2 linked regions of the Callithrix jacchus genome follow. The protein of the gene in region 1 purifies or fractionates together with the protein of each later gene. This does not show direct contact. Links are inferred from orthologs where the notes say so. Each region holds a gene or a part of one and is shown on either strand. Other genes may lie near its edges. The genes, in order: ATXN7 and USP22.

Region 1 (4,366 bases):
CTACTTCTGTTAATGGAACAGTCCTTCTCCATCAGGCCTTGTTCGGTTGCTGATGAGGAACTGTAATCCCCTCTAGACGGAGAGGTGTTCTGATTTTGGGTATTCTCAGCCTTTTTAAGCTGGTTTCTTCCCTTCGTTATAAATTTATCCATCTGTCCTCTTTGCAGTTATCGCCTTTCTAATTAGGTTTCTGAGTGGACATCCAATTTATTGCTTCCCAGTGCCGGAATCTGAGCAACCCACTGCGTCTAAAACAGTGGCGTTAAGACTGATGGTGCTGTTCTGCCCGGGAATCTCCGGTCTGGCTTCCTAAGGAAGCCAGAATCATTGTTTTTATCTCAGGCTTCAAATTTTCACATCAATTTCATGTAATAGTAATAATATCAACACTTATTGAAAGTGGTGTGGTCTGGTACTGTTTCAATTATTTTGAATGCTTTAGGTCATTAAGTTGCCTTTTATTTTCCCATCTGTAGCCTATCACTAAGCAAATGTTGTGTGTGTTGGGGAGGGGTGCTACGTTTTGTGGGCCAGTGTTTAATTTACTGAACAAAATTTGACCAAAAACAGTATTTTCTAAACATGTTTTGTAGCAATTCCTTATATTCCACTAATCCCTGGTGTCTCATCCTGCCCAAGAAAAGACAAGCAGAAAGAGGGAAGGACTAATAACTCGAGTTAAAAATGAATCAGATTTTTATTTTGGGGGTGAATAAATCACTTCCAGGACCAATGGAAGCCCCAAAATTGGGGTGGTGCCTCTAAAACATGTAGACGAATTACACCTCTTCTCGGTTTGTTTCACTCCTCCATTTCCTCTCACACTGATCTCATGGTCTCTCTTTGCTGGATGAGTTCAAGTTCCCCGGGCGCACAATTGTGACTTCCAGTTGCGGGTCGGGGGCACACGTGTGGGCAGCGTGGCGCGCACGGGGTACTTCGTCCTGACACCTGGGCGGCACTTCGTTACCAGCCCAGGGTTCCCTGCGTGCCCAGCGTCTGCTTGGCGGCGGCTTCCCATTCATGCTTTTGACAACTGCGCGGCGGTCCCCAAGCCGAGGGCAAAGTGCCCCCTGCACCAGCCTCTCCCACGCTGCCCTGGGGCCAGCCGGCCAACTCCTCCATAGGTGGTTGCATTTCCGACTTCGCCCTGGCTGCACTCCGGGGGCTTGACGTGCAAACTTCGCTAGAGCGAGCTGAGAGGGAGGGACCGGCAAGTGGGAGGAGGCGGCGGGAGGCGCCTCCGCTTAAGGGAGCCGGCCGGGCGCCGCAGCTCGGACTGACGGGCGGACGGAAGGAAGGAGCGGGGCAGCCGGGCCAGGCCCGGGGATGCGAGCAGCCGCCGGGTGGGCAGCTGGAGGACCTGGGGTGCGGCTCGGGCTTCCCCACGCGGGCTGCTGTGGTGGGGCGTGGGGCCGCTCTGGCGCCGGCCTCCGCTCCGGTGCCGGCCTCTGCGCCGGGTCCCCTGGGCAGAGGCAAGCAGGGGACCCAGCGTCGCGGTGGCGGGCCGCGGGCCGCGGGCCGCCAGTACTCTCCCTCCAGGGACCGCAAGAGTCGAAAGCGAAAGCTAGTCCGCTCTGCGGACTTTGCGCCCGGGGCTGGGGGTGGCCGCGAGGAGGCGGGCTCAGGGGGTTGGGCGGCCTGGGGGCGCTGTCAGCGCGCCCCACCCGGTCCGCGGGCCACGCACGCCGCCGGAACTCCCCGGCGCCTCCTTAAAAAGCTTCCCCCGCGCGACTCTTTCCCCCCTTTTTTTTGTTACATTGTAGGAGCGGAAAGAATGTCGGAGCGGGCCGCGGATGACGTCAGGGGGGAGCCGCGCCGCGCGGCGGCGGCGGCGGGCGGAGCAGCGGCTGCGGCCGCTCGGCGGCAGCAGCAGCAGCAGCAACAGCCTTCGCAGCCCCAGCGGCAGCATTCGCCGCCGCCGCCGCCGCCGCCGCGGCGTCCACGGCCGGAGGACGGCGGGCCCGGCGCCGCCTCCACCTCGGCTGCCGCAATGGCGACGGTCGGGGAGCGCAGGCCCCTGCCCAGTCCTGAAGTAATGCTGGGACAGTCGTGGAATCTGTGGGTTGAGGCTTCCAAACTTCCTGGAAAGGACGGTGAGTGTCCACGCCCTCTTCCCTTCTTCACTCCCCACCCCACGACCCCTTCCCCCACCTCACCTCCCCCTCGCCCCCGTCCTGTGACCCGCCCCCTCGAGGGGCCGAGATGCTATCGTTCGCTGGGTTGCGGAACGCGGAGGTGCCCACACCTACCCTGTGCGTGCGTGAGCGTGCGTCACACTCCCAGCCACTGACCTGCCTCTCCCCTCCTCCTGTGTGTGTATATCTCCTAGGGACAGAATTGGACGAAAGTTTCAAGGAGTTTGGGAAAAACCGCGAAGTCATGGGGCTCTGTCGGGAAGGTGAGTCCAGCCCCCCTGATGGAGTTTGTGCAACCCCCGGGGAAGTTTCCTGGACCCTTCACCCGGGCCGGGAACTTCAGCCCACGATACCGACTTTCCCCGTGCCTGTAATGATGCTGCCTGAGGAGAGGAGGGAGGGAGAGGGCAGAGTGCTTGGAAAGTCTGGTTTGGGGGCCTCCTGTAATACGGAGCGTCCGGAATCCTGTGGCCAGGCAGGAGCAGCAGTTTTGGTGATGAGCGCTGGGAGCCGATGGGAAGTTTAACCTAGATCTCTGCGGTTCTGACCCCCTCATGGAGAAACACGAATGGATGAAGGATTTCTTAGCTTTTAAACATTTCCACAAATGCTTAGGAGATATCTTCTGTTGGCAATCAAAGCGAATTTTGAACTTAAAGACGATGCTTTACCTATTTAGTCTTATTTCTGTGGGAGTTAAAGTACAAGTTGAGGATGCTACAAAAAGATCTTTGTAACCCAGAGTGCAATTGGTCAGATTTTTTGTGAGCCGCCAAGATCAGTGTGGAAAGCAAGCCAGGACTTTATTTTGTAAAACAAGCCTTTACTACCCGTAGCTAGTGAAATCAGGGTCTAATTATTGGTTAGTTTTAAACTGATAAAAAGATACTCTAGAGAAATAGCTGTAGCTAAGGGTATGCCTCCAAATGAAGGTCAGGCCAGGTATCTGGAAACTGTCAGACGTTTCCTTGGTATTTTCTATTTCTTTGAATGGTCAGCTTTCGCTGTCTAATACCTGCACTGGGCCTGGGCACACCATGGTCAGAAAGGAATTCTGAAGTCCAGTGAAGTTTGGGTTCAGTTTCAAGTTATTTTTTAGGTGACTTAGGACAAGGCTTTCAGTGAGGTTTGGAATACTGAGTTTATAGTTCCCAAATACAATTTTATCTCTTACTTGTAGCCATTTAATTTGGCAGAATTTTTGTCTATGGTCCAAGAATAGGTAGAACTTTGGCAACTGTTTGCCCAAAAGTCCTTAGTTTGCCTATTGTTACTGTCTTCACATTTCCTTCTTGTTTTTCACACCGGCTTTTTCTTCACTTAATTCTGTTCAGGTTTTTTTTGAATTGGCCGCTTGTTGGCGTCTTGGCACTGGGAGGAAGAGTAATACCAGTGACAGCTTAATGAGAGCTTCCTGTTGGAACAGATTATAGAACAAATCAGTCGATTTTTAAAATGAGAATTGCTGTTTGACGGTAAAGGAAAGCGAGGGAAAGCACAGGATTTGTTGATGATGTTGCAATGGGAAAAATCAGTTGCTAGTCCGGTTTTAGTGTTTAATTGGCAGCCTGCCTGGGCTTAAAAAATTAAAATCACTAGGTGGCAACTCGCATAGGAAGCAGTTGGAGTATAGCTTTAGAGGACCTGACCCACTCTTGTTCTTAGTCTTCATTCTCTGGGTGTGGATGCATTTCCCATAAAGGGTTTCTAAATCTGTGTGAAAACAAGATTCTAATTATCAATAATTCTGCTGTAAAGGATGAGTTAAGTGTATTAATGTTTTACTGGGTGCTGTGATCTGGACAGGGATCCAACAAGATTAAGGGGACTGTACCTAATTTTTGATATATGTTATTTTCTGTGGGGATTCATTTATCAGCAGGTTTTCCACGAAGATCAAAGACCTTAAACTACCTGCTTGAGGCACAAAGGGGACATGGATCTTGTTAGTGTTTTTTAAGGGTTCCCTTCCTCCGCCTTTTAAAGCTGCTCTAACCATTTAGAGGATGCTATAGCTATCAGGCCACTTGAAACTTACATGTTTCTGAGTCGAGACTGAAGTTTTAAATTCAGTCAGTTGTTCATTTGTTTGCGATGTGTTGTGGATTTTCTGAGTATATTTTAAAATCTAAGCTTGAGTATGTCCAGCACTCAGTGGACCTTTATGTTCTCCTAGCAGGCATTATAGGCTGCTTCAGAAATGAAAATACACTTAATGTTATCAAAAC
Region 2 (3,805 bases), on another chromosome or scaffold:
ATTTAGGATAAATATTCTTTAAAGAGAGATAGGCAGGAAAGGTGGACAACATTGTCTCTCTTTTTCATTGTTTCATTTTTAGTTGTATTGTATATGCTTTTGGTTGGGAAATCAACCCGTTGAAAGAGATAAAATACCTTTTCCTCTTTTCTGTCTCTTACATTTCCCTTACCTAAGCTACCAACTCTTTTGAATCTGCAGATTCACCAGACCAGAGCACTTGGGCAGCAGTGCCAAGATCAAGTGTAGTGGGTGCCACAGCTACCAGGAGTCCACGAAGCAGCTCACCATGAAGAAACTGCCCATTGTAGCCTGTTTTCATCTCAAAGTGAGTTTTCCAGAAAGCCAACTCGAGTGGCAGGCTCAATTTCCAATCCACAGTGCGGCCCTCAGCCTTTTGGTTTGCTGTGCAGTTACATGTTTTATTGCAGCAAGCCAGCAAGAACACTGAGGAATGGAGGACGCTCGTGAATTGTCCTTCTGTCTGGGAATTGTCCTTTTGTCTGTGCTGCGGTAAACAGAATCAGTGGCTTCACAATGAAAGTAGGATGTGAGTTAACTTTTCTTGGGGAGCAGAGCCTTGTGAAGTTTTTCCACCCAAATTCCTCTAGCTCCTCCCTCCTCAGGTTTTCTGTTGTTCTTTTATTTGAAGACAAAGGCCCTCAGAATTCAGATCTGCTCCAGGAGTTGGCCAGCTGTTTGTCTAAAGGCCCAGATAGTGAAGCTGTCAGGCTGCACAGGCTGCGTGCGAGCATACGATTCTCTGTTGCATGCTCTTTGTTTCATTTTATACCCTTTAAACATGGAAGGCACCCATTCCTAGCTTGTTGGCTAGAATGGGTAACTCCTGATCTAGGCAGAGGACTGTCTGTTCGGTGAAGGGAACAGTTGGTTTGTTTTTGCTGCCATGGGTTGTGGATCTTTGTTTTGTTTTCTGTGCTCTGCTGGATTTGCTGCGAGATTATTTTTTGTACTCTGGGTACTGAACAAGCCGATCATTTGAAGGCTTCACTTGAACTCTGTAAATGAAGTCTTGTATGGATTACTATTGTTTTTTAATCTAATTCTAGATGTAGCCATAAGGCAATTCAATAAAATACAAAGCGATAACACAGACACCTGTCATCACAAGAAGCCCCTGAAGCTTCCAGTAATGTTTCTGGTCGTCTTTCCTCTTCCCTCTGCCCCTTTCCTATTTCTGCAGCGATTTGAACATTCAGCCAAGCTGCGGAGGAAGATCACCACGTATGTCTCCTTCCCCCTAGAGCTGGACATGACCCCTTTCATGGCCTCCAGGTAGGTGGGGGTGTTGGCCCATTCTGTGTCCGGAGGGTCTGTCATCCTATCAGGACAGGAATCCTGCTTGGAACTGCTGTCAGATGCCTGTTGGCCGGGCGAGGTGGCTCACGCCTGGAATCCCAGCACTTTGGGAGGCCGAGGCAGGTGGATCACGAGATCAAGAGATCGAGACCATCTGGGCCAACATGGTGAAACCCCGTCTCTACTAAAAATACAAAAATTAGCTGGGCGTGGTGGCGTGCGCCTGTGGTCCCAGCTAGAACCTGGGAGGCGGAGGTTGCAGTGAGTCAAGATCGCACCACTGCACTCCAACCTGTTGACAGAGCGAGACTCCGGCTCTGGGGGAAAAGAAAAGATGATTGTTTATATTAATAGAAACCCCACCCTCCCAAAACCTATTTATCCTAATCTTAAGATATGGTACACATTAATGAGTTGTTCTTTGTCAGATACCCTGTTTTTGCTTTGAATGTTTCTCTGACAATTCTCAAACCACTTTCAAACTGGCAGATTCCTCAAGGTGGATCATAGTGAGAAGGTAACGCTTTACTTCCTGAAACAGAGGTTGAAGTACAGACAGGCACAGTTGGTTTTGCAGTTGTAGACTGCATTTTCCTTTTCAAATCTGCATATTATGGGGCACTTTGAATTTAACCCTCCAGAATACCATGCTGTTCAATGCATGAGACACATAGGAGTTTCTCATGGCTCAGTGACAAATGACCGAAAACTTGGTGGATTAAAATTAATTTCCTCACAGTTCTAGAGGTGGGAAATCTGAAATCAAGGTGGGCAGGGCCTCACATTCCTACTTGGGTCTGGGGGATTTCACTCCTCACCGCCTCCAGCTGCCGGTGCTTCCACATGTTCCCTCTGTGGCCGCGCCACTCTCATGGCTTCCTGGTCACAGGGCTGGTTCCCCTGAGTCTGGCCAGTCTCCCTGTGCTTCTCCGTCATGACAGGTTGTTGGATTTAGGGCTCAGGCAAATCCAGGAGGATGTCATCTCGACATCCTTGCTTTGAGTCTCTGCAAAGACTGGTTTCACAGATGAGGTTCCAGAATCAGGTTCTGAGGGTTGAGACTTGGATGTCGTTATTTGCAGGGTGTTATTTTTTTGGCCGCCACAGCCCCAGCCCCAGCCCCAGCACCTTGGAAAGCATGTTGCCTTTTGGTAATCGGCCTGTTCCTGGTGTTTTTTTGGTGGGGTTTTTTTTTTTTTCTTTGAGACAGAGTCGCACTCTGTCACCCAGGCTGGAGTGCAGTGGCACAATCTCGGCTCACTGCAACCTCTGCCTCGCTGGTTCAAGCAATTTTCCTGCCTCAGACTCCCAAACAATGGGGGTTGCAGGTGCGCCCCACCACGCTCAGCTAATTTTTGTTATTTTTTAGTAGAGACGGGGTTTCATCATATTGGCCAGGCTGGTCTTGAACTCCTCATCTCGTGATCCTCCTGCCTTGGCCTCCCAAAGTGCTGGGATTACAGGCGTGAACCACTCTGCCTGGCCCCTGGTGTCCTTCCTCTTTGCTGTTCCACCCCTGTGGCACACAGATGATCTCCCAAATAAAACAAGACCACCAGAGTCAGAGCTCCATATTATCAGTCTGACCACGATGGTCACGTACTGAGGGCGTGGCAGTGCTGTTGCTGAGGTCAGAGTCTCAGAGATCTTGGGTGTTTCCTGCCAAACACACTGTGGGAAAATGCAGTAAATAGTGCGCATGCTTCCTGTTTCCAGCCGCCCCTCCCCCGTCTCGCCAGGAGAGGTGCCGGTCTTGAAATAATGAGCGGCAATCTTTGTCCCTTTTGAGGAGGCAGCTGCCTAGGTTGTGGAATGGATTCAGCTTTTCAAGCTAACCCTTTATGTGTGGGAGGAAGAGCTTCACCACCTGCTGTGTCACAAACCAAATTCACATTCATCCAGATCCAGCTCCCATCACCAGGCCCATTCAGGACCCACCTTGGAAGAATCAGGGGTCAGGCCAGATGGCCCCAGGACCCGGGTGTGCTCTCAGGCAGGGGACTTGACAACTCAAGTGTCAGTGTCCTCACGAAATGTGGGGAGATTTCTCCACGAAGCATGAAGTGCACCCCAGCGTTGCGTCTGCACAGTCAGACCTGGATAAGTGTTGGTTTCATGAGAGCCTTGTGTCTCTGGGCCTGATGATTTTAATGATGCTGAATCCTGCCGTTGTTTGTTACAGCAAAGAGAGTAGGATGAACGGACAGTACCAGCAGCCCACAGACAGTCTCAACAACGACAACAAGTAAGTGGTGCTCAGTGGTGTGGGTGTCCAGGGCCTCTGGCCAAGAGCTGGGGTGGGCTCCTGTCTGCTTGTAGGGCATCCAGCAGATCTTCTGCCACCCACCTGCTTCCTGCCTGGCTGCCCACAGCCCCACTAGGAAAGGCCATTTTATGCGGTGCCACAAATGCTCCCTCCTGTTGGAGGAGTCCAGCTCCACTCCTGGCCTCTGGCTGGAGGAAGGTTCCATCTGGAAAGCTCGGT

What was found.
Region 2: the proteins of ATXN7 (region 1) and USP22 purify together in Homo sapiens (affinity purification with western blotting; 7 studies listed by BioGRID and IntAct, with this or other methods). This does not show direct contact. The link is inferred for Callithrix jacchus from reciprocal best matches to the Homo sapiens genes ATXN7 and USP22.

The regions. Positions count from the first base shown.
Region 1 is NC_133516.1:45,686,555-45,690,920, forward strand, and holds the start of ATXN7 (ataxin-7), read left to right. Parts: upstream 1-1,276; 5' UTR 1,277-1,346; exon of another isoform or gene 1,347-1,368; intron 1,369-1,766; 5' UTR 1,767-1,777; coding exon 1,778-2,096; intron 2,097-2,332; coding exon 2,333-2,401; intron 2,402-4,366. UniProt on the Homo sapiens protein: Acts as a component of the SAGA (aka STAGA) transcription coactivator-HAT complex. Mediates the interaction of SAGA complex with the CRX and is involved in CRX-dependent gene activation.
Region 2 is NC_133506.1:64,955,326-64,959,130, forward strand, and holds part of USP22 (ubiquitin carboxyl-terminal hydrolase 22), read left to right. Parts: intron 1-201; coding exon 202-328; intron 329-1,204; coding exon 1,205-1,296; intron 1,297-3,502; coding exon 3,503-3,565; intron 3,566-3,805. UniProt on the Homo sapiens protein: Deubiquitinase that plays a role in several cellular processes including transcriptional regulation, cell cycle progression or innate immunity.